Linked DNA regions of Macaca fascicularis. The protein of the gene in region 4 interacts with the protein of the main gene of each other region in a pairwise test. Links are inferred from orthologs where the notes say so. Each region holds a gene or a part of one and is shown on either strand. Other genes may lie near its edges.

The links.
Region 1: the proteins of PPP1CC (region 4) and INSYN1 interact in a two-hybrid assay, tested with the Homo sapiens proteins (2 studies listed by BioGRID and IntAct). The link is inferred for Macaca fascicularis from reciprocal best matches to the Homo sapiens genes PPP1CC and INSYN1.
Region 2: the proteins of PPP1CC (region 4) and TOR1AIP1 interact in binary tests that used the Homo sapiens proteins (3 or more experiments, as listed by UniProt). The link is inferred for Macaca fascicularis from reciprocal best matches to the Homo sapiens genes PPP1CC and TOR1AIP1.
Region 3: the proteins of PPP1CC (region 4) and CNST interact in a two-hybrid assay, tested with the Homo sapiens proteins (2 studies listed by BioGRID and IntAct). The link is inferred for Macaca fascicularis from reciprocal best matches to the Homo sapiens genes PPP1CC and CNST.
Region 5: the proteins of PPP1CC (region 4) and PPP1R15B interact in binary tests that used the Homo sapiens proteins (3 or more experiments, as listed by UniProt). The link is inferred for Macaca fascicularis from reciprocal best matches to the Homo sapiens genes PPP1CC and PPP1R15B.
Region 6: the proteins of PPP1CC (region 4) and AATK interact in binary tests that used the Homo sapiens proteins (3 or more experiments, as listed by UniProt). The link is inferred for Macaca fascicularis from reciprocal best matches to the Homo sapiens genes PPP1CC and AATK.
Region 7: the proteins of PPP1CC (region 4) and PPP1R18 interact in a two-hybrid assay, tested with the Homo sapiens proteins (2 studies listed by BioGRID and IntAct). The link is inferred for Macaca fascicularis from reciprocal best matches to the Homo sapiens genes PPP1CC and PPP1R18.

Annotation. Positions count from the first base shown.
Region 1 is NC_088381.1:50,662,695-50,666,194, forward strand, and holds part of INSYN1 (inhibitory synaptic factor 1), read right to left. Parts: intron 2,868-3,500; exon of another isoform or gene 2,794-2,867; coding exon of another isoform or gene 2,776-2,793; intron 961-2,775; coding exon 235-960; 3' UTR 1-234. UniProt on the Homo sapiens protein: Component of the protein machinery at the inhibitory synapses, probably acting as a scaffold. Inhibitory synapses dampen neuronal activity through postsynaptic hyperpolarization.
Region 2 is NC_088375.1:37,408,432-37,411,931, reverse strand, and holds the end of TOR1AIP1 (torsin-1A-interacting protein 1), read right to left. Parts: intron 3,353-3,500; coding exon 2,562-3,352; 3' UTR 430-2,561; downstream 1-429. UniProt on the Homo sapiens protein: Required for nuclear membrane integrity. Induces TOR1A and TOR1B ATPase activity and is required for their location on the nuclear membrane. Binds to A- and B-type lamins. Possible role in membrane attachment and assembly of the nuclear lamina.
Region 3 is NC_088375.1:2,528,400-2,531,899, forward strand, and holds part of CNST (consortin), read right to left. Parts: coding exon 3,224-3,500; intron 1-3,223. UniProt on the Homo sapiens protein: Required for targeting of connexins to the plasma membrane.
Region 4 is NC_088385.1:117,603,167-117,606,666, forward strand, and holds the end of PPP1CC (serine/threonine-protein phosphatase PP1-gamma catalytic subunit), read right to left. Parts: intron 2,872-3,500; coding exon 2,648-2,871; intron 2,446-2,647; coding exon 2,311-2,445; intron 1,438-2,310; coding exon 1,377-1,437; intron 475-1,376; coding exon 404-474; 3' UTR 80-403; downstream 1-79. UniProt on the Homo sapiens protein: Protein phosphatase that associates with over 200 regulatory proteins to form highly specific holoenzymes which dephosphorylate hundreds of biological targets.
Region 5 is NC_088375.1:62,230,608-62,233,596, forward strand, and holds part of PPP1R15B (protein phosphatase 1 regulatory subunit 15B), read right to left. Parts: intron 512-2,989; coding exon 290-511; 3' UTR 1-289. UniProt on the Homo sapiens protein: Maintains low levels of EIF2S1 phosphorylation in unstressed cells by promoting its dephosphorylation by PP1.
Region 6 is NC_088390.1:87,576,426-87,580,509, reverse strand, and holds the start of AATK (serine/threonine-protein kinase LMTK1), read left to right. Parts: upstream 1-1,284; 5' UTR 1,285-1,513; coding exon 1,514-1,568; exon of another isoform or gene 1,569-1,825; intron 1,826-4,084. UniProt on the Homo sapiens protein: May be involved in neuronal differentiation.
Region 7 is NC_088378.1:141,975,109-141,978,608, reverse strand, and holds part of PPP1R18 (phostensin), read right to left. Parts: intron 1,502-3,500; coding exon 1,291-1,501; intron 1-1,290.

The DNA.
Region 1 (3,500 bases), on a different chromosome or scaffold from region 4:
CACCCCCTTCAGGAGCCCCACAATGAGAAGGGAGGAAGGGCAGTCCTGCCCACACCTCCTGGGACCTAGGAGGCCAGTGGGCATCTTCATGTCTAAGAGGAGCTCTGTGAAAGCTTTGGGGCCTGTGGGGCCAGATCCTTAGCATTTTTAAATTTTATTATGACTTCATTTGTTTAAATATATATATATATTTATAGCTCTATGTGCCCACCGCCCTGGCCCCCTCCCCAGCCCCTAGTTTTTCCCCCTGGCTTTCTGTCTAGTGGCTGTGTAAGGCAGCACCGTCTGTGTGCTCTTGTCTGACACTGTCTGGGTGCTGCTGTTCCTCGTGACCCTTCGAGTCTGTTCAGGGGCCAAGGTAGAGCCTGAGCGGCGGCTGGTCAGTGGAGAGCGCCGTGACTTGTAGGGGGCTGGGGAGGGCTTGTGGAGGCCTGCGTGGGCCTCTGTATGGGCAGGCTCTGGGGGCAAGCCCACCTCCTCCTCCTCCGCCTCCTGCTCGCCATCCCCCTCCTCATCGTCACAGCACAGAGCGTGGTAGAGCACTTTGTCACTGAACCGCACCCTCTCCCGCGTCCCTGGGGTCCGCTGGGGCAGCTGGCTCTTCACTGCGGGGCCAGCACCGAAGGCCTCCTCGCTGGAGGAGTCTGGGGTCTCCACTCGTGGCCCATTGGGGATGGGCGTGCCACCATTCATGAGGCGGTAGTCAGGGCCAGCCCCTGGCCGAGTCGACTCAGGACCGTCCACGGAGTCCGAGGGGGTAGAGACGTCCAGGAAGGAGCAGAACTCCCAGCTGTCTGAGAGGATATCGGCTGTCATGAAGTCCAGGTGGCCCAGGTCAAAGGGGCCGCCCACGCCCGCCTTGTCACTGCTAGAGGTGCTGCTCACAGTGGCTGTGGTCCAGTCGTCCGGCTCCAGTTCAAAGTCGAAGTCCGAAGTTAGCTTATCGATCTGGCTCACCACCTGACCAGGAAAGGGGAGAGGAGATGAGAGGGGCCAGGTGGGTCCCTGCGTCAGCCAGGTGTGTGTGTCTCTGTCCCGTCCCTGTAGAACCCCTGGCTGGTGAGCATACCGGACAGGGGAGAGCCTGCAGGACGGTGACCGGCCTGGAGGTCACAGGCTGGTTTGCCCTGTGGAGGGCCCAAATCAGATCAGGCTGGACAGAGCTTTTTCAGTGTCCTGGGGGAGAGGGAACTGCTTTCCAGCCCTGCACACCATCCATTCACTCACCCCTGTCTCCCAAACACAGCAGCTGCTCTGGGGGCAGCCCTGGTGATCAGGGATGAATCTTCCTTAGTTTGAGAGGGGGCCATTTCAGAGGGGCTGAGGGCCTCCAGCAAGCGCATTCCACAAGGAGCTGAGCAGCCCACACACCCTCAGAGAGGAAATGATGTGGGTGATCACAAGGAAGACCCTGTGTGGGCTTTCTAAAGCATCCTGGACCAGTCCTTGCAGCTGGCCGGTGACTGTCGCCCCTGGGTCTCCACCATCCATCAGGGCAAGAACACCAGGTGTACAGCACCGGCGGGGTCACCCCACCCCCATCTCCGTCTCCAAGAGCCTCCTCATTCCTTCCCCTTCCCTGCCCACTGACAAGTGGAGATCAATCCTGGCTTGTTGAGAGAAGGAATAAAGCAAGCATTATTTGATAAGCAATAAAGAAGCTATCTATTCTGGGCCCAGAGTTGCTTGTTCAATGCACTCAGGGGGCAGCTCAGCTGTGGAGATCACTCCACCCCGGCCTGCCTCGCATAAAGTGAAGCCCTCAGCTTCTATATAGGCGGCTCTGCCTTGGGATACTCCCTTGCCTGGGTGGCCACTGTCAGCACATAAATCAGGGAGGAAGACAGTGGGAGAAAGAGGGAGATTCAGTCAGAGACACAGGGACGGGACAGAGCAAGAGAAGGGAGAGAGAAGATTCCAACCAAAAACAAAACAGAAAAACAATGAAAACAAAGCAGAGATGCCAAGAGTCAGAGTGACAGAGACCAAGAGACCCACAGTGAGTTATCCAGATCAGAATCCAGCCCACAGCGCCTCTCCAGTGCCCTTCACCTGGGGTCAGAGCAGGCAATTAATTAATTAACTCAGTAAGTCCTTAATTCAATAAACATTTGCTGAGGACTGATGCTGTCCAGGGATGTGCTAGGTATTTGGCAAGGCGTTGGGGTAGTGAGTGCCCCAAAGTGAGAGGAAAGCAAGGACAAAAGTGATGGCCAGAGTGGTTTGGGCCAGTGGGAAGACTACTTGGTCAGGAGTCAGGGGCTGGATGAAGGAGACCTGGTCAACCATTTTCCCTCTCTAGGTCTCAGTTGCTCAGTCTGTATGCAGAGAGGGTGGGTGAACTAGTTTACTTCCAAGGTTCCTTCCACATCTGAGATTCTAGGACTCTGTTTATAGGAATGACTCTGAGAAGCTGCTTGAGTGCTGATGCCTCGGGATGGCCCCCTCAACCATTGCCCAGGACAGGAGTGGGATGAGGCCTCCAGAAGAGCTGGAGGAATCTGGACATCTGGATTCCAGACTTAGCTTTGACATTGTTCTGAGTGTCTTTGGGCAGGTCACAGAACCTCTCTGGACCTCAACCTCATTCACTGCCAAGTGGGTATGACAATCCCAGACCACCAAGTGAGCATGACAATCCCAGCCAACCTTATGAGAGCTTCATGAATAACAGTGAGAAGGGCAGCAAAAGGGCTCTGAGAAGCACTGGGGAAGAAAATGACACCATCTCCCATCTCTGAGCACCTATGATGCACCATACTTTCGAGTGCTCACCTCCACCCATGAGATCATTATCTCCTGTGTTTACAGATGAGGAGTCTTGGGCGCTAGTCCCTGGAAAGCTGAGAATCTCCCTCTGTGGCCCCCTGCAAAAGTGCACATGATCGTGAAGTGCTGCTGTGACTGCTGGGCTTGGGCAGGCGGTGGGGATAGGGCCCTACCCTCCAATCAGGCCACCTCTTCTTGTGCTTCTCCCAGGATGATGCCTTCCTGCACCAAAGGAACCTCAGAGAAACTCCTATCTCCCAGAAGCCCTTGCTCAACCCAAGCTCCACTTGAGGGCTGGTGGGAGCGCTGGCCTAGGGTAAGGGTCCTCAGACTTGAGTGTCCCTCAGCTCACTCCCAGAGTTTCTGGTTCTGCAGGTCTGAGGTGGTGCTGGAGAAGGTGCCTACCTAACATACCTCCAGGTGCTGCTGCTGCTGGTCCAGAGACATGCTTTGAAAACCACTAGCTTAGGGCACCGGGAGATTTAAGCTGGGTGAAGACCAGCAACTCAAGGCATTGATGACCTCAGGAGAGGCCCCATCACCTCTAGGGCAGCTATGCCCTCAAATGAGACTCCCCTGATCAAGCCAGAGCTGTGGAGTTTGCTGCCTGAGGGCGGGGCAGAATCCCATTAGGAATTGGAGTTGCATGACTTGGCTGTGACCTCGCAGGGTCAGCTGAGGCCAGGCTGGGCCCAGAAGCTAGGTCTCCTGATGCTTAATGAGGATGAGCA
Region 2 (3,500 bases), on a different chromosome or scaffold from region 4:
AAAATCTAAAAAAGCTCTTTAGGGAGGTGATGAAGAAAAGGTTAAGAAGCCAGGGGTTGTGACTCACACCTGTAATCCTAGCTACTTAGGAGGCTTAGGCAGGAGGACTGCTTGAGGCCAAGAGTTCAAAAACAGCCTGGGCAATATAGCGAGATCCCATGTCTACTTAAAAAAAAAAAAAGAAAGAAAAGCTGCTGTGGAGATTCTTTTGCCAAGTCAGGAATACCTAAATTAACTATATTTTTACAAACCCTAAGTGCCGAGATAAAATGGAAAGTTATGGCTATCTCACTTCTAACCAATGTACTTGCAAATGGCTCCAATTCTTTGGTTTTTGTTTCTCCTAGCCAAGGTTGCTAAAATTGTTCAAGGAAAAGACTTGGATTTCTTTTTTTAAATATGATAAATCATTAAATATATAACACAGAGTACAAACCAAGAAAGTAAATTTATTTAAATTACTAAAATAGCTTTTAAAGTCATTTACAGATCAGCTGCTATAATTATTTTTCCTGAAAGACACAGGTAACATATTACTTTTAAATTACTTGGGTCAGTGAAACATTTAATAAAAAGTTATTTCTCTATATAATATGTATGTATAAAATAAGCCTTTTCAAAAACTCTGGTTTTCATAATCCTCTATAAATCAGATGATCTGACTTCTAAGAGGAACAAATTATAGTAAGGGGCATACATTTATGAATACTGGTAGTACTAGAGGAAAGAAGTTAGACCACTCTACTACCACTTGTGGAACTCTCAAAGGGTAAATGACAAAGCCAATGACTGACTCTCTCTAAAAACAATATTTACATTTAATGGTTTGTGGACAATAAAAAAACAAGGTGGATAGATATAGAATTGTAACATTTTAAGAAAACCATAGCAGTTGACAGATGAGAAAGCTCAATTATAGATGCAAAGTTATAACTATACTACTATAGTAGTAAAGAAATACATTTCACACTCTTCATGTAAGTTCACTATCTTGGCTTGAGGCACTCCATAAAATGTATCACGTGCATAGTAAATCTTTATATTTGCTATGGTGTTGTACTAGAGGACCTGGACTGCAACAACTGGATGCACAGAAAACGAAATCTTCTTCAATAGCCCAGGACAGCAGGTTGACAAATGGTTTGTCAATTCCTGAAACTATTTCTTAATTCAAAACAAAAGCTTCAGGATGTGTCCAAAATAAACTGTTACGAATTGACCTAGTCTTTTTTTTTTTTTCTTTTTGAGACAGAGTTTTGTTTTTGTTGCCCAGGCTGGAGGGCAATAAGCCTGGTCTCGGCTTACTGCAACCTTTGCCTCCCGGGTTCAAGCGAATTCTCCTGCCTCAGCCTCCCAAGTAGCTGGGATTACAGGCATGTGCCACCATGCCCGGCTAATTCTTGTATTTTTAGTAGAGACAGGGTTTCACCATGTTGACCAGACTGGTCTCGAACTCCTGACCTCAGGTGATCCACCTGCCTCGGCCTGACCTACTCTTTTTTTTTTTTTTTTTGAGACGGAGTCTCTCTCTGTCGCCCAGGCTGGAGTGCAGTGGTGCGATCTCGGCTCACTGCAAGCTCCGCCTCCTGGGTTCACGCCATTCTCCTGCCTCAGCCTCCCGAGTAGCTGGGACTACAGGCGCCCACAACCGCACCCGGCTAATTTTTTGTATTTTTAGTAGAGACGGGGTTTCACCGTGGTCTCGATCTCCTGACCTTGTGATCCGCCCGCCTCGGCCTCCCAAAGTGCTGGGATTACAGGCGTGAGCCACCGCGCCCGGCCAACCTGACCTACTCTTAAGAGTCAAGTGAACAAATGTATTAAATCTTGCAATATACATGAAGAATCCTTGGGAGGGCCAAGAATTTTTCTTCAAGGAAGGAAAAAGGAGATATAAAAAACAAATCCCAATGGAATCCACTAAGATTAACAGTTCATATACCTATGTTTGACCTACACCTCAGTGGATTACTATAACATTTCCTCCCTTCAGCTTCCCCATTAATTTCTTCCTTGCCTTGTTCTTTCCACCTTCCAACAAACAAAAGAAAAAAAAATTCCAAACACACACCTACGTGACCTTTCATAACTTATGTTCCTATAGGCAGAAGCTAAGGAACTCACACCTACATGGTATAAAAGGGAACATAATGGGAAAATCCATGGTTACATTTAGGGAGCAATCTTACTAATAACTCAAGAAACTTAGTGAGAAATCTAAGTTAAAAAATCAGGAAGGTTCATAAGGAGACAAATCCCTTTCACTGGTCATACATAACTGTAATAATTCAGCCCAGAATCAAAATAGATTCTCTAAGGAACTGCATATAATCTGCACTCCTAAGATACCTTTAACACAGCTCTCAATGGAAACTGAAATGATTCTCTCATATCCTAGATAATTAGGTTGACAAATGATTTTTATGTTCTGTGTTTATGTAAGAACTTAATTTCCTTTAAAAAGAAACCAGTTCTTTCAAAAAGAGCTCTGAATTCTGTCTCTGGTTAGAAAATGTGAACAATTCTCAGAACTTGGGACATGATTTTTCTTCTCTCACTTCTTATAAGCAGATGCCCCTTTTCAAGGCATTTTCAGGTTGCACAGGCAGAACTAAGTGAGAAATGCGGCTCCAGAGGCCATTCAGTTTGTCTGGGTCCATATGATTGTAGGAGTTGGGTGTGTTAGAATTGGTGAACTTGACTTTAAGGAAATCTCTTACTTTTTCTTCAACTTCCTTTAGGCCTAGACTGGTTCCAAGTGTCTCTTCCTCCAATAAGACAGTCAGGACTAGGGCTACATCTTTGAAGGCTGCGTTTTCATGGTCACAATATTTGTAGAAGATCAAAGTAGAGCCTGCGGGCAATGACTCAAAGCGGTGTACCACAGCTGCATTCTGGCCGTTCTTAAATCCATTGCTCAGTTCTTGGTCTACCTCTAGTTTGACAGTATCACTGTCTTGAGTAGCTTTATCTGTCCCATCAATCCGGATGGCACGGACACTACGAAAAGAAGAATAGGCATCAGCAATTTGTTCACTCAGACACCTAAGCGCTTCTTCAGCATCTCGGGCAGCAGTGAGCAGCAAGATAGCAGGCTGAGACCGAGGATGGGAGCTATTAAGATGTTTTTCCAGGAATATTTGGCTCCTTTTCCACAGCTTCTCATCTTGACCTTGATACTTATTCTTAAGTTGATTCATCTGGTTCTGGAACTCTTGAACAGCAGTGGTTTCTACCTCAGGAGTACTAAAGAACCAAAGACTCCCAGAGGCAAGAGCAGCTATCAGAGGAAGTAGCCACCAGCAGCTCCTCTTGCCAAAAGATGCATTTTGGGGTTGTCCAGTCATTTCTACTTAGAAAAAAAGAAATGACAGATATAAATACCATTTTCTTAGATTCAAGGCAAGTGACTTTTAAAATCAGTATCAATCTTTGTAAACATTAGGTAAAAGAGAAAGAACTTTAAAGAAGAAAGCTGAAAATTTTCTTAATAAAATAAT
Region 3 (3,500 bases), on a different chromosome or scaffold from region 4:
AACCTGGGCAAGGTAGCATGATCCTGTCTCTAAAATAAAAATAATAATAATATAATCACACCTAAGGAAAGTGGAATAAAGGTCATGGAAGGGAGGAGTAAAAGGACTCATAATCTTAAAGCTATGACTGACTCATAGATATGCAACTAAGCATCAGTTCTTACATCATAAGATGCCTATAATCCCAACACTTTGGGAGGCCTAGGCAGGAGGATTGCTTGAGGCCAGGAATTTAAGATCAGCTTGGGCAACAGTGAGAGATCCTTTATCTACAGAAATAAAAATAAAAGAAAAATTCATCAGGCATGGTGGCACACGCCTGTTGTCCCAGCTACCAGAGGCTGCAGTGGGAGACTCTCTTGTGCCTGGGAGGTCAAGGCTGCAGAGAGCCACGGTCATGCCACTGTACTTCAGCTTGGGTGACAGAATGAAACGCTGTCTTGAAAATAAAACCACAGCCGGGCGCGGTGGCTCACGCCTGTAATCCCAGCACTTTGGGAGGCCGAGGCGGGCGGATCACAAGGTCAGGAGATCGAGACCACGGTGAAACCCCGTCTCTACTAAAAATACAAAAAATTAGCCGGGCGCGGTTGTGGGCGCCTGTAGTCCCAGCTACTCGGGAGGCTGAGGCAGGAGAATGGAGTGAACCCGGGAGGCGGAGCTTGCAGTGAGCCGAGATCGCGCCACTGCACTCCAGCCTGGGCGACAGAGCGAGACGCCGTCTCAAAAAAAAAAAAAAAAAAAAAAAAAAAAAAAAAAAAAAACCACAAAATCGGATTGAGAGGCCTGGTGAATTTGCCCTTGAATGATAGTTATAGAATGATTTATATATACATAGTACTATAAATATCCTCTGCTTATTAGATCTTTTAAGAAATGCTTTCGCGGGGCGTGGTGGCTCACGCCTTTAATCCCAGCACTTTAGGAGCAGAGGTGGGCGGATCACTAGGTCAGGAGTTTGAGACCAGCCTGGCCAACATGGTGAAACCCTGTCTCTATTAAAAATACAAAAAAAATAAGCGGGGCGTGGTGGTGCACGCCTGCAATCCCAGCTACTCAAGAGGTTGAGGCAGGATAATCATCCGAGGCAGGATAATTGCTTGAATCCGGGAGGCGGAGGTTGCAGTGAGCCGAGATCACGCCACTGCACTCCGTACTGGGTGAGAGCGTGGCTCGCCTCAAAAAAAAAAAAAGCTTTCATATCCCTGGTTACAAATTATTTTAAATCTCCTAAGAAAAGGAGACTCCTAAGTCTCCCTCGGCTCACAGGGACATGAAAAGCCAAATTATCAGTTACATTAACCAGAAAGCCAGATTATGAATTATATTAAAAAGTTTTCAAATTACCTTATAGAATAAATATGGATTAATTTGTAGAAACTGAAAAGTTTTGGCCGGGCGCGGTGGCTCAAGCCTGTAACCCCAGCACTTTGGGAGGCCGAGATGGGCGGATCACGAGGTCAGGAGATCGAGACCATCCTGGCTAACACGGTGAAACCCCGTCTCTACTAAGAAATACAAAAAAAATAGCCGGGCGAGGTGGCGGGCGCCTGTAGTCCCAGCTACTCGGGAGGCTGAGGCCGGAGAATGGCGTGAACCCGGGAGGCGGAGCTTGCAGTGAGCTGAGATCCGGCCACTGCACTCCAGCCTGGGCTACAGAGCGAGACTCCGTCTCAAAAAAAAAAAAAAAAAAAAAAAAAAAGAAACTGAAAAGTTTTATATTTTACTTCAAATTTTAAAAATACAAATAAAAAATATGATATAGACAGATATATTTCTAATTAACCAAAGAAGAGAACAGAAGATGAAGAGACATTCCACTTAGTTCACTAGAGTCTGATGTAAAATCTGTTGGCTTGCGTAAAGTGATACTACACTAAGGAATCCAGTCTAGGGCATACCAAAACTTTCTAGGCTCACGTGTTTCTGATCAAAAATAACCAGAGGCTGCCTTTTCCCAAGGGGGCCCTGTGATTCAGGCCAAAAATTCCATAGCTCTAAACTTCAACTGCCAAACTGCATACACAAATGAGAAATACTCTGAATTACTTTTTAACCAAAGTGATACAGATAATTAGAACAGATGCCTTATTCAACACTACATATTAAATTGTATATTAATATATGTTCATGTACTTTATTTACCTGCTGAATGAGATGGAAAGATCTATGAAGAGGTCATACTAGCATCTAAACTCACAGGTTAGAGGTCAAAGCCACAGGAACGACAGAAGGCAATTTTAAAAGTTGATATTGGTAGAAAATGGTCTAACTTATAAAGGAGGAGACTGCATATATTTAAAGTACCTAATGTGAAAACATATACAAAGGATGTCAATTTCAGCACTTTTTTTTTTATTTTTTTTTTTTTGAGACGAAGTCTCACTCTGTAGCCAGGCTGGAGTGCAGTGGCACGATCTCGGCTCACCGCAACCTCTGCCTCCCAGGTTCAAGCGATTCTTCTGCCTCAGCCTCCAGAGTAGCTGGGATTACAGGCGCCCGCCACTGCATCCAGCTAATTTTTTTTTTTTTTTTTTTTTTTTTTTTGAGACAGAGTCTTGCTCTGTCGCCCAGGCTGGAGTGCAGTGGCGCAATCTCGGCTCACTGCAAGCTCCGCCTCCCGGGTTCACGCCATTCTCCTGCCTCAGCCTCCTGAGTAGCTGGGACTACAGGCGCCCGCCACCGCGCCCGGCTAATTTTTTGTATTTTTAGTAGAAACGGGGTTTCACCGTGGTCTCGATCTCCTGACCTCGTGATCCGCCCATCTCGGCCTCCCAAAGTGCTGGGGTTACAGGCGTGAGCCACCGTGCCCGGCCCAGCTAATTTTTTGTATTTTTAGTAGAGATGGGGTTTCACCATGTCAGCCAGGCTGGTCTTGAATCCCCAACCTCAGGTAATCCACCCACCTCAGCCTCCCAATGTGCTAATTACAAGTGTGAGCCACCGCACCCGGCCTTAGCACTGTTTATGATAGTAAAAGATTGGGAAGGGCCATAAGGAAGTGATTTAAAAAATTGTGTTACACCCATACAGTGAAACAGTGTGGAGACGTATCACATGCACGGAATATCACTCAGTTGGATCTACTTGTGCTATGGTGGAACTAGCTCCAGAATAGCTTAAGAAAGAAGCAAGATGCAGGACAGTAAAGACGGTATGGGAGGGGAAGGAGGTTCATTTTTAATTAATTAAAGAAGAGAATAAATACTATTTTAAAAAATACCTGGTGGTATCTTCTTAGCAGTCCCTTTTTTGCTTCTTGGACTTCTTTTTCCAGGTATTTTTTTGTCCTTTCCCAAGAAGGCCTGTTCATCTCTGGAGCCTTCACAAAGGGTGTTTTCTGAGTCCTCACCTGCGGCCACCTCGCAGCTCAATATGCAGCTTTCATTATTATTGAGACTGTCCTGCTCAGACACTTGGGGCTTTCCCATTGCACTGTCGCTGCTGGTCAGATGCTCAGGCCCGTCCCCATCAAGCTGATTTTCATTTTCATCTGATGC
Region 4 (3,500 bases):
AGAGTATTAGTATCTGTATTATAATCCATCTTTGGAAAACAGACTATATGAAAGAAGACAAAACCAAAATGCAACCATGTGGTTTCCAGAGCAATTTATTCAGGAAAATCTATTCAATATGCCATCAACAGTTCTCCTGTGTGTATTGTGCTGATAAATAGACACTGAGAGGATTTAACAAGTTCATCATTTAATAAGTCTGAATTCATTTTCACCACATGGTATTGTACACGGTCATCTGCTGAAACAGATTTCTTTTTTAACAGATCTTAGTTTAAAAAAAGTCATAGATACTGTGAGTTCTGTATAAACTGGTGGACAGTAAGTTAGTTCCTTTGTTTTAACTTATAAGCCTCAACTTCACCGCAGAATAAAGAATGTAGGCCAAAGAAAGCATAATCGGTCACTCGTATAGAACAGTATTGTTTCTATAATTTGAAGCTTTCTGAATGGACGGGTTCAGGCCTGATGCAACTGTAAAAAGATTACTTAATGAATAGACTATATGGAAATTGTACAAAATGTTATTACCTTTAATCATTAGTAGCTTAAACAGCACTATATCACTAATTGCTATTCAAAATCAAAAACCTGTTTTTGAATCCCCGAGAAGGCAGCATGTGTACACAACCATACCACCTTGTACTTAGGGGTGTGCCAAAACGTAATTCAACAGAAACTTTGGCTTTAGGAAAGAGTCACAAATATTTAAAAGAATGGCTTTAATCGTCATTTTAAGTATACGGTAGGGGAAAAGTGTGCTTTAATTAAATATACATCATACCAGTGATGCTGGCAAGGTTGAAAGTTACTCCTAATGTTGATAGCTATAAAAACTAGTTTGTACATAACAAGACAATGAGAGGAAAAAGCAATCCCTTTGAAACAAAATTATCAAATAAAAAATGTTCACAGTGGTTTGTATCAACAGTATGCATTTTATGACAAGAACATGTACAGACTTGGAGCACCCTAGGGCTCTTTATGTCCTAAAGAAAACGAGCATTTACATGATTATGGGTTGTACTGAATTTAAAAAGATCAACTGTACACTTACTCCTTAGACAGGATAAACTGTCCTGGGGTGTACAGCTTTAACACCATCATTAAAATTGTTTGCAAAAGGAAGAGAGAATTAAAAAACAAAACACTTTTCTTTTTGGAGTGAAGAGTCTCTCATTTGCTGTTATAACCAGCAAATGCCATTCACTAAATCAAAAACGGAAGGAAGGGCCCCCACAAACACAGATCTATCTGAGCAAGCTGACCAGTACACATTACAGTCTTAAAAATGAAGGTTATATACTCTATGTTACAAGTCCCAACTAGGCAGTGTCAAAATGACATCTATTTCTTTGCTTGCTTTGTGATCATACCCCTTGGAGGCGTTACAGGTCTCGTGGCATTTGGCTTCTTTTTCTCTGCAGGCTTTAAAATCTGGAGAGATTCAAAAGACAGTTCATTTAGGAAATATACTCAACCCCAAATCTTAAAGAGTCCTTACATTTCATTCAGATCTTTTGTTCAGATGGCGTTTACAACGCCCCAACAACTGTAAAAGCCTCCCTAGCATATTAACACAAGCTAAGTTGACATGTAAACATTTAGTAATTAAGGCTATGATGAAGAGATAAAAATCTATGATCTGGACAAATTATTTTGTCTCTGAGTACTGGTAATATCTTTAGCTATTCCTTCTGTATAGGGGAGAAAGTTCTTTACAAAAGTGTTTCTCCAAACTGCAGGGGATTCTTGCACAATCTTTGGAATTTTGAAAGCTGCAAGTTCTCTGACAATTGGTAAAAAACAACAACAACAACAACAAAAAAAACTTGCAAATGAGAAAAAGGCTGAGGCAGATTCTAAATAATGCTTTTGTGCCAACTGAAGGCCAAATGATGTCGTGGTACATTAGCAGAAGTTTTGTGGAAATTAGACTAGAGGGCAGAACTAAGTAAACACATAGCACGAGGCACTCAGTACTTTTCACATGCAAGTGGTGATTTAATTTTAGCTGAACATTACATTGTCATTATGGTTTTAGATCTACAGTAAAACAGCCATAAAAGCATAAGGAGCCAATATGCAATGCAAAAAAATCATAATTAAACACTGGGAAAAGGTGCCATAATTAATTTTTTCTTTTACAAGGGATCTACACATTATTCAACTATAACACACACTGGTTAAGGGAAAATAGAAACAGCCTACTTAGCATAAATGAACACTAGGCAAAAAGTGGCAATTATATTTTTCAACCAGCAAAGTGCAAACATAGTAAAAGGAAATAATGTTGAAAGCATGCTCTACCTGAAAAGAACACATTAGTGTTTCATCCACACTCATCATGGCACCTGCATTGTCAAACTCTCCACAATAATTGGGCGCAGAAAACAGAGTGACCAACTGCCTCTTTGCAAAAAATTCATATCCATCTTCAACCACCTTCGAGAGAAAATTTTTTCAGTATAAATAGGTGCAAATATTAGGTAAGTAAAACCACGTTTCAGTTTCCCATTGAGCCTGATATCTTGTGTTCCAGAAACACTTTGTATAAATAAGCAATACCTACCCACCAAAATCAACAAGGAGAATCTGTGCTCACACACATGCTCTTAAGTGTACATGTAAAATTCAAAATCAATACCTGATGGGCTCTACATATAAGATCCAAATCATGCTTATGGAGAAATTTTGCAACCACTTCTGCACCAAATGTGAAGGACACTCCTCTGTCATTTTCACCCCAGCCTAAGACATCTTTATCGGGGTCAGACCACAAAAGATCACAAAGAAGACCTTGATCTGGTACATCAGTTGGTCGCATAATTCGCCGAATCTGCTCCATAGATTGAAGATCTGGTGATAAACCTATTCAATGAGGAAAAGAAAAACGAAGAAAGCAAAACTTTTAAAAGGATATTACCCCTTCAAAAGTTCCATTTGTCTACAGAGAAATTCAATAATCCTGACACAAAAACTGAAATCGGATTATATTTTATTTACTTTTGGTTAAAAGAAAAAAAACACACACACACACAGAAAAAGGACAACTGGATACACACTAGAATTATATGCAGTAATGCATGGGGTGCTGCAGGTTTAAACAGTACATGGAGGCAGTTATATTATACAGAACACTGTAAAACAAAATCCAGTGATTTAAAAAACTCTTCTATGGGCTTCCCCAGTTGATGACAATAATGAGCAATGTTACGATTGATGGCTTATAATGACTGAGCTGAGAAGATAAGGATGCTCAGTGAGAGGTAGTTCTCTAGGAAATCTGCACTATTCATAGACCATTAAAATCTACAAGAGCTCATTGTATCGAGTTACAATATGGGATGCATATTATAAGAGTTAAAAACCATGTATCCAACTCTACCAAAACCTGTGTAAGTATAGAAGCACAGAGATAAAAGACATTATGTTGGCTTTTTGATGGCTGATTAATTTCACACCATACATGAAAAGAAATTCTCTTTGCAATTACTATT
Region 5 (2,989 bases), on a different chromosome or scaffold from region 4:
GGTCCCCTTTTCACCTCATGCATGCAAAGGTCATTTAAAAGCACATCCAACTAAATCAAAAAAGGGAAGATTCGAAATTACACTAGTTCATCCTTCATCATCAGGGCTGGCTTCAAACCTGAATGTTTCTGAGTGGGATATGTTGGGAAAAAAAAAAAAATTAAACTAGATCCAAGTTACATTTCCTCTTAAAAAAAAAAGTCAAAGGACAGCTGCCAAGATTTGTTTTTAAAAGACACCTCTCAGGTAAGAGGTAGTGTATGCTATGACTACAGGCTGCCAACTCATCTTAACATTGCTTGAAAACATTAAGTCCTTTGAAGCATGTTCCCTGGAGTCTATTAAACATTCTTTCTCTGTGCTCAAATGTCAAGCAATATCCAATAGCATCTTCTGTTTCTTGAATTCGTTTCTGGAACCTGCATCCATCCCTTGCAAATTCTTCCCATGGTCCTTTGCGATCCTCATCACCACTTATATAATACTCAGTAACTTCTTCAAGGAAGGTTACCTACAAAAACAAAGACTAATTTTAATAACTCTCTAGGATCTTACAATTAGCGTTGAGGTCAATAACCCTTTATGCTACCAATTTTTTCATAATATAGAATATCTTACTATTCCCAACTAAAAATAACATCTTGTTCTTAGGAATATTTGGTTCCAGCTATATCTGAAGTTAAAGAAAAAAAAAAAAGTTCTGTCACACCTGTAATCCCAGCACTTTGGGAGGCGGAGGCAGGCAGATTACCTGAGGTCAGGAGTTCAAGACCAGCCTGGCCAACATGGCGAAACCCTGTCTCTACTAAAAATACAAAAAAATTAGCCAGGCGTGGTGGCGCACGCCTGTAATCCCAGTTACTCAGGAGGCTGAGGCAGGAGAACAGCTTGAACCTGGGAAGTGGAGGTTGCAGTGAGCCGAGATCGCACCACTGTACTTCAGCCTGGGCAACAAGAGCGAAACTCTGTCTCAAAAAAAAAAAAGGTCTGATTAGATGGCATTTGGATAAAATAGTAACAAATGTCACCTAAATATTTCATGTAGAGACATATATCTTTCATTTATATATATATATCCTTCATTTATCTATATCTGCATAATACACACATACAGTCGTCTGCCCCCACGCATCCCCCACCAGCCCTTGGCTTTTGGTGTTAATAAAAAGAATCCAGATGAGGAATTGAATTTTTCATGCTGTTATTAACCCCTGCTATTTTTTAATCCTTAGGGAAATACAGTTCTGTGATATTCTTCCCTCAAAATGATAAGCAAAATATTTCTGAAAATAACCGCCATATCCCCGGAAGTCACTGTTTTTATCATTGCATAAAGGCTTTAACAATATTTTTGCTTACTTCTATTCTTTTTCCTTTTAGAAAATGTTTTCACTTTCCAACTTTTAAATCAACATGTAGTACTATTTTTGTATCATTACTTTGGCAATAACAATACAGAAGAGAAAAAGTTACTTAGTAAACAAAGTACAGCAAAATTAGTATTTTTAACGCTGTGTTACTCTAAGAAACTTTGTAGTTAAGATTTCAAAAACCTTTGTATTCAATATGCTATCCTATATATGAAATTGTGATTCTAATATACATAATGACATGTAATGAGTGACAATCCCTACTCATTACTACTTAATCACTACTTAATTTCTATGAAGCTTCTTTCTAAGCTATCAAACTCCAAAAGCAAATACTCGCTTTAAAGTATGTTTAATAGTTACATCAGCTAACCCTACTGTGGCCTACTACTTTCGTTCCCTTTACATCAGGCCAAGGGATGCCCCTGAGGACAATTAGCAGGTATGTAACACCTTACCAGTTATTGCATTCTAGTCTTGAATACTACTCATTCATTGTGTCATTAAGATAAATGATAAAAACATACAGTGTTTATCATATACCAGCTCTTTTCAAAGAGCTTCACATTTTTATCTCATTTAATCCTCACATTAACCCTATGAGGTACGGATCATTATACAGATAAGAAAACAGAGGTAGAAGGGTTTTTTAGACTCACTACCCATCATCCTATATACTCCATATATTTCATACATCATACTCCATATATACCAACGACAGAGAGTCAAAGGCTGTCAAATAATTCTATCATATTCAGACATAATCATTTACAAATTCTGCTTCTAGTTCACAGTATCATCTACTCCACTCATTTCATTTTACTCAATGAGCAAGCTAAAATTAGACATGAGACTGGCCTGAGGTCTCTCAATAAGAGCTAGCATTTAAAGGCAAGGCAATAAATTCTGAATTTTATTTACTTGTCTCATTTAAATCTTGCAATAACTTGTACAATAGATATTATTATTTTTCCCATCAAGTAAGAGTGAATTGAGGCCATGAGAGTCAAGTAACTTGCCAGGTCTGGCTGCCTTCCAAATCTCTCCGCCTTAACCACTGAGGAGTAGAGAACACGGGGCTCCAGCTGCCAAGTGCTCATTCCATTGCCCCACTTTGTTTCTTACCTATTCATTCTAAATAGGTCATTTTGTCAGGGGCCCCTTAAAAGGACAGAGAGATGGCATTTACACAGTGTGAACTAAAATTTAATTTTTAACATGACTTATTCTGCCCTAAAGGTAAGACGTAAGATTATCACCATTTGGAGATACTTTCTACCCAGGAATAATTTCAAAGTATTAAGCTGGCCATTTGGAGCCAAGAGATTATGGCACTGTCCATCTGAAACTCCCCAGTGCGGCAGAAGCTGAGGTCAGTAATAACTCACCCAATATCTTCTCTTTCCAAGTAACGGCATAGAAAACTAAAAAAACTTTCCCTCTACAATAGACACCTTTCGGTTTGCGGAGAGTTCAATTAATAACTTTAGTTAAAGCAACTATAAAGAAAAACAAACCAACTCAAAACGCTCCCAAAATAAGGTTAACCTGAAATTAGCCTGGGAATAGGAAGCAACTAGTCAAGATAAACCAAGTAAGTGGCCATCACTGTTTTTATT
Region 6 (4,084 bases), on a different chromosome or scaffold from region 4:
GTGAATGAGTGAGTGAATGAATGAGTGAGTGAATGAGTGAATGAGTGAATGAGTGAGTGAATGAGTGAGTGAGTGAATGAGTGAATGAATGAGTGAGTGAGTGAATGAGTGGATGAGGGTGCATCAAACTCAACTGCGAGTCTCCAGGACACTTTTTTTGAGACAAGTTTTCGTTGTCACCTGGGCTGGAGTGCAGTGGTGCCATCTTGGCTCACCGCAGCCTCTAACTCCCAGGCTCAAGTGATCCTTCCACCTCAGCCTCCCAAGTAGCTGGCACTACAGGTGAGCGCCACCATGCCTGGCTCATTTTTCTAGTTTTTGTAGAGAAAGGGTCTTGCTGTGTTGCCCAGGCTGGTCTGGAACTCCTGAGCACAAGCCATCCGCCTGCCCTGGCCTCCCCAGATGCTGGGATTACAGGCATGAGCCACCAGGACCAGCCTCCACTGCACCTTCATTCTCCCGGCTCCCACAGGGGCGGGCTGGGTGGAACCTGCCCCGCGCCAACCCTGCAAGGTGGGGCTTTGGGGCAGGGACGGGGGATGCTGGGAGAAACATAAGGGAAGGGATGGCCCCTGTGTGCCCAGGCGAATCTGCTGCACTAAGCACATGGCACAGTCCAGGGCAGGTGGAGACTCAGCCAGGTTCCTCCTTCATGGCTGTCGCAGCCTGGAATAGAACAGGCGTGTGTGCAAAGCCAGGACCCCACTCCACCAGCACAGGTGCCACCCGAAGCACATGGGGCAAGGGGACGGACACCAGCTGCCTCCAAACGTCCAAGTGAGGGGAGGGCCCCTGAGCACCAAGCCCCGCCCTGGGTGTGCTCCCGGGTTCCCCCACCTGTCTCCCTGAACCTTCCCACCTAGGAGCACCCCCTCCCCCACGCCGGCATTCCCTCCGTACCCACTCACGACTTACCACTCATGACTTCCGTTTCCCACCCACCAGCCTCCGTGCCCCTCTCAGTCCCAGGCCTCCGTGCTCCCTGCTCCGGCCCATCCCCCCGCTCCGTGACATCCCCCCTCCGTGCACGCCCCCCGTCCCCCCTCCTCCATGCCTCCCCTCCGTGTCCCCCCTCCAAGCCCCCTTCTGTGTCCTCCCTCCATGTCCCCCCTCCGTGTCCCCCCTCCATGCCCACTTCTGTGTCCCCCCTCCGTGTCCCCCACTCCATGCTCCCCTCCGTCTCCCGCTCCGTGTCCCCCTCTCCCTGCCCCCCCATGCCACCCCGGCCGCGGAGGAGCCCCCCCTCCCCCGCTCCGCTCCGCGCGCGCTCCCGCCCGCGTTTTCGGACTGCACCAGCGGAGCCCCGCGGCGCCAGGGCCGGGCGGAGCGCCTCGTCTGTCGCCGCCGCCCCCACCGGTGCGGGCGCTGCGGCTGCGGCGGGGGGCGCGGGGCGCGGGGGCCGGCGCGCTCCGCACCTGCGGCGGCCGCTGGGTGATGCGGCGGCGCGGGCCGGGGCCGCGGGCGTCCTGAGCGCAGCGCCCGCCCGGGATGCCCGCCGGCCGCTGGCCCGGCCATGTCGTCGTCCTTCTTCAACCCCAGCTTCGCCTTCAGCTCGCACTTCGACCCCGGTGAGTCCCTGGCGGCCCGGCCTGCGCGCCGCTGCCTCCCTCCGCTGCGGACGTGATGCCGTTGGGCCCCACCGGCTCCCGGTTTGCATGGAAATTAACCCTTTCCCCGCCCCGAGCCCAGTCGCAGAAGCAGCCGGACCCCCTGGCGGCCCCAGATCTCGGAGGGGCAGGCCTTGGGCCCCAGCACAAACCGGCCTCCTCCTGTGGGCTGGCGTCCCCCGCCTGGTCGTGACTCCGTGGCTGCCTCCCGGGCACAGGTAACTGGGGCACAGAGGGCCTGCGTGGGCCCCAGGTGTCCAGGAGAGTTGGTCTCAGACTAAGGGCCCTTGGGGATGTGGAGGGTGTCAGCCAGATGGGGTTCAGGCTTGCCATGGCCTCTCCTGGGTCCGGGGCCCTGGCGTGGGAGGCTTCTTCCCAGGCTGGGAGCGGTTCTCGGAGCCCTGCCCAGCCACCAGCAGCGGGCGGGGGATGTGGGGGGAGCAGGGGCCAGTCCACATGACAGAGCCCAGTGGGCAGAGGCTCAGAAGAGAGGGGCTTGGTGGATGCCCAGACCCCCTGACAGTGGGGGCCCGAGGTGACGCTGTCAAGCTGGCTGCAGGGGACCTGAGGCCAGGCCTCTTACCCTGTGTGGCCAGTGCACCAGGCAGGGCACGATTACCCATGGCTGCCTGGCTTCCTGGCTGCGGTGGACAGCTGGGATAGGCAGAGGGGGCTGGGGGCAGCTGGAAGCCCCATCCGTCACCAGGAAGCAGTGGGCTTTCTAACCTCTGCTTCTTCAGATCCGGCCCCTGCTTGGCCTGAGTGGGAGATAACCCCCCCCCCGCCCTGTGCCATCCATGGCCCCAGGGCCAAGTCCCACCCACACGTCACTGGGGCTCTGGCACCAGGCTGAGCCAGCCCAAACAAAGCGTGTTTGCATGTGACGCGATCTCCTGTGTCTCCTTCCCTGGAGCAGGGCCCAGGGCATGCAGTCTGGCAGGGATACACGGGGGTCCCCCGGGCAGATCTTGGTCTGAAGGCATTTGCTTCTCGGAGGAAGGGAGCTGGTGGGAGGTCTGTCTGCTGGGCTTAGGGCTGTGGGTGTCACTTGCTCAGAAACGACTTCCTTTAGTGACTCCTGGGGCTCAGAAGTCCCTGGGTGGTGGGCAGGTGAAGGCCCAGAGCCCAGCAGCCCCCACAACAGCTGTGATGTCTCCCGAGGGCAGGGGGTGGAGGAGGCTTGGGGCAGGTCCTCATAGCATCTGCATGCCAGGCGTGGCCCACGGTGCTTGGTCCTTTCTGTCCCCAGAAGAGAGGGGACCCTCAGCCCACACCCTCCCTTGGGGCCCGGCCTTGCCCTTCGCCATGAGAAGCCCTTTCCCCTGCCTTTGAGTAGCCCTGGCTCTGCCCTTCCCTGGGTAAACAGCTGTGATCTGAGTAATTCCAATGTGTCCATTTAATGACTTAGAGGAGAAGAAGTTGTTGGAGACAAGGGGTGTTTCTCCTCTGCAAGATGCTGGGCCAGAGCTGCAGGCACCTGCTGGGCTCCAGGGCCCACCTGCCAGGAGAGGCTGCCTGAGGTTCTGGTGCTGGTGGGGAAGAGTACCCTCCTTCGGATTAAGGGGCTGTGTCTAGGCTCTGCAGCAGCACCCTTGAGGGGGTTAGGGAGGAGAGGGGGGTCCCGTGCCCTCCCGCTAAACTTAGCCCAGTCTTCCAAGCCTGGCTGCCCGGCGCTGCAGTCCCTCTGCCTGGCCTTGCCTCTGTGAACCTTGGTTTTCCCATCTATAACATGCGCTGACAGTACCTGTGGCAGGCCCAGGTGGGCTTAGTGCTTGGTGAGCACTTGGCTCTGTGCTGGAGGTCGTGGTGCTGGGACAGAGACCCCCCAGGGCCCAAGCTTCCTGCAGCACACGGCTGGCTCCTTGCCATCCCTGAACTGGAGCGAGTTGGTTCCTTCTGAGGCTGCTTGTGTCTGTGGGGGGCACCCAGAGGGGAGGGGCCCACGCTTGTGGCTCTGGCAGTTGACTTGTGTGTCACTCAGCATCTGGGGCAGTGCCAGCACCTGGGCACGGGGGTCTCACCTCAGTCACCAGGCCCCGCCCCGCTGCCGGGCCAGCTCCTTGTTCATCACAGGAGCTGGTGCCAGTCTCCATAGAGGTGATGGCAGTTGTGGTGGTACAGGGGGCAAAGATGCCCGAGAGTGCAGGGCCTGAGCTAGAGTGGAGGCTGTGGGCACAGACTGTGGGCTGCTTGGGCCCCGACCTTCTTCCGCGCCAGGCAGATGTGGGCAGGGCAGGGGGGCACCCAGCCCAGAAGCCTGCTCGAGCACCAGGAAGAGCCGCCTCCTCTGGAGCCCAGCTCTTCCCCCATCTCCCTGGCACTCGGGAGCGTGGGTGAGTGACCCTGGGGGATTTCTTGGCAGCTGCAGCCCTCCAGCCTCTGTGCTGTGTGGCCTCGGGCTCCTCACCCAGCCTCTCTGAACTCCACTCTGCACAGATGAAACCTCGCTCTGGGGTGGGCATGGCGGCCAGGGAAGG
Region 7 (3,500 bases), on a different chromosome or scaffold from region 4:
AGGTAGTTTTTGGTTTCTGTTTTTTTGAGACGGAATTTCACTCTGTAGCCCAGGCTGGAGTGCAGTGGCATCATTTCGGCTCACTGCAACCTCTGCTTCCCAGCTTCAAGTGATTCTCCTGCCTCAGACTCCCGAGTAGCAGGGATTGCAGGTGTCCACCTCCATGCCTAGCTAATTTTTGTATTTTTAGTAGAGATGGGTTTTCACTATGTTGGCCAGGCCGGTCTTGAACTTCTGACCTTGAGTGATCCACCTGCCTCAGCCTCCCAAAGTGCTGGAATTACAGGCGTGAGCCACCTTGTCTGGCCTGTTTGTTTCTTTCGAGACAGGGTCTTCCTCTATTGCCCAGGCTGGAGTGCAGTGGGTGGTACAATATCGGCTCACTGCAGCCTCCAACTTCTGAGGTCAAACGATCCTCCCACCTCAGCCTCCCAAGTAGCTGGAACCACAGCTGTGCACTGCCACACCTGGCTAATTCTTTTATTTTTATTTATTTATTTTTTTTAGAGATGGAGTCTCGCTCTGTTGTCCAGGCTGGAGTGCAGTGGGGTGATCTCGGCTCACTGCAAGCTCCGCCTCCCAGGTTCACACCATTCTCCTGCCTCAGCCTCCCAAGTAGCTGGGACTACAGGTGCCCACCACCACGCCCGGCTAATTTTTTTTTATTTTTAGTAGAGATGGAGTTTCACCGTGTTAGCCAGGATGGTCTCAGTCTCCTGACTTCATGATCCGCCCGCCTCGGCCTCTCAAAGTGCTGGGATTACAGGCGTGAGCCACCGTGCCTGGCCCACACCGGGATAATTTTTGTATTTTTTTGTAGAGACAGGATTTTGCCATGTTGCCCAGGGTGGTCTTGAACTCCTGGGCTCAAGCGATCCACCCGTCTTGGCTTCCCGAAGTGCTGGGATTACAGGCATGAGCCACAGGAGGTAGTTATTATTAACTTCATTTCATAAATAATAAACTAAAGCCAGATATCGGATGGTTTCCTTGAGATCACACAATTAAGAGACAAGCTGCAATTCCAACTCAGGCCTGTAGACCCACCCTGTGGTTTTGACCAGATTACGGTACTCAGGAAGAGTTCTCGTTTTGAAACTTGAAGACTCAATGTGTACTTCACTGCCCGGGACCTCAGTTTGCCCATCTATTGAAGGAGCAGGTTGGACCAGAGGACCACCAAGCCCCTTCCAAGCGCCTACATGCAATCCTCCCTCCTCTTCTCTCCTGGACCGCAGCGCCAGCTCTGACAGCAGGGGGCGCTCTCGAGCCGGCGGAGCGTCCGCTTACCCACAATCAGGGCCTTGGTGCGCAGCCCGCCCTGGAGCTCTGGCTGCAGCAGCAGCAGCTCTTCCTCATCCTCTTCGTCGTCGGGTTGGGCTGCTGGGGGGTTGGGGGCACTGGGGACCTCAGGCTCCGGGCCCAGCTCCTCCAGTACCGAACTCTCGGAGGGGTATTGGTACGTGGTCTCCAGGGCTGTCTCGCTGAAGGAGATCTTAAGCTGAAGGAGGGAGAAAAAGGGGGCAGGAGGCAAGGTCAGCAGGGGTGAGGCCCGTGGGGGTTGAGGGGGAGAAAGCGGGGGGCGGGGGGGAGTCTGCAAGGGAGCAGGTGGGGCGGGGGAAAGGTGGGGGTGGGGGTTGGACTTAGGCGCCCCCCTCACTCTCTCCCATCCACTTTGGGATCCAGTTTTCCTTTACACACTGGCTTTCCAATCCTAGAGTTTCCCTCTTCGATCATATCATTTCAAAACATCAGACTTTGCCCTGTATGTTGGCAGGGGCTTGGGAGGCAGAAGTGAATAACATAAGACCAAGGTCCCTGCTCTTTCGAGTGTGGGAGGCAGAGGGGTAAAAAGAAATTAAAATACGTGGCGATTAGTCTTGTGATCAGAACCGAGTCTTTGGGCACCTTGGAGGCAATAGAGTAAACTTCCCAGAGGAGCCCAGCAGACTGGCCAGTGGGGAAAGAGTAAACTTCCCAGAGGAGCCCAGCAGACTGGCCAGTGGGGAAAGAACTGGCTGGGGAGCCAGTCTCAACCAAAACCATGGTTTTCATACCCACAGCCCCTTGCTGTCCTATGCGAAACCCAGGAGCCTGGGCACCTGTTCCCTCCCACTCCCCTCATTCCTCTCCTATCCATAGCAAAGGGGGTCTAGGGCCTGGGAAGAGATGGGAGATGAATAGAAAGGCCCAGAGGAACCAAGAGACTCCCACAACACACAGGGGAAAGATTAGCCGCTGACACCTTGAAAGGTTGGGGGAGATGACAAGGGCAGAAAGGAAAGTCCACACAAACCTGGGGTGGGGTTTGAGCCCACAGTGTGCTCAAAGGGACAGGCGCAGAGACAAAATACCAGACAGGGCACAGAAAAATCACACTGTGCCAAAAGCAGGTGAGTCCCAGCTGTTCTCACTGCCTTTCTACCCTTCCCCTTTGCCCTCTTAAGAAGCTCAGGGGGAAGGGGCAGGGTGGGATTAAGTCTAGGAGCCAAAGGGATTAGGCAGACAGCAGGAGGATTCCATGTGGACTACTTGGAAAGGTCCAAATGATCTACTCAGGCCTTCCCTGGCATCTGTTTGGGAGGACTTGGGGCCAGTCGAACATCCCTGAGTCCCCTAATGGACTGAGGTATGAAAAGGGAGAAGCCAGAAGGGTGGCTGGGCAGGTGGTTGCTAAGAGCTGCATCAGATATGACACCAGTCGGGCACGGTGGCTCACGCCTGTAATCCCAGCACTTTGGGAGGCTGAGGCAGGATTATTTCTCGAGCCCAGGAGTTGGAGACAAGCCTGTGCAATAGAGTGACACTGTCTCTAAAAAAGAAAAAAAAAAATCAGATATGACACCTGGGTCCCCATGGGAAAATGGAACTCGGGAACTGTGTATGTTACTCCTTGTTGGCTCCAAACCCCACATTGTCTCCCCATCTCACTTGGAGCAAAAAGTCTACTCGAGGCTGGGCGCGGTGGTTCATGCCTATAATCCCAGCATTTTGGGAGGCCGAGGCGGGCGGATCACAAGGTCAAGAGATTGAGACCATCCTGGTCAACATGGTGAAACCCGTCTCTACTAAAAATACAAAAAAATTAGCTGGGCATGGTGGCGTACGCCTGTAGTCCCAGCTACTCGGGAGGACAAGGCAGGAGAATCACTTGAACCCGGGAGGCGGAGGTTGCAGTGAGCCGAGATCACGCCAGTGCACTACAGCTTGGGCAACAGAGTGAGACTCCACCTCAAAAAAAAAAGTCTACTTGATTGCCCCAAAGGTGCCCAGAGCCTGACCAAAGCCTACAGGGTGCTCCCAATGTGCCACCCTCCCCTTGCCTCTCTGGCCTCTTCCTTCACTCCAGCCACACTGGCGTTGGTCCCTCCACGCACTCCCACCTCAGGACCAGAAAAGTACTAGCTATTCCTTCTGCCTAGAACACTCCCCTGAAATATCCCCATGGCTCTGACCCTCCTGATCACCCCATTTTGAAGTCTCCATATTCACTCCCCCTG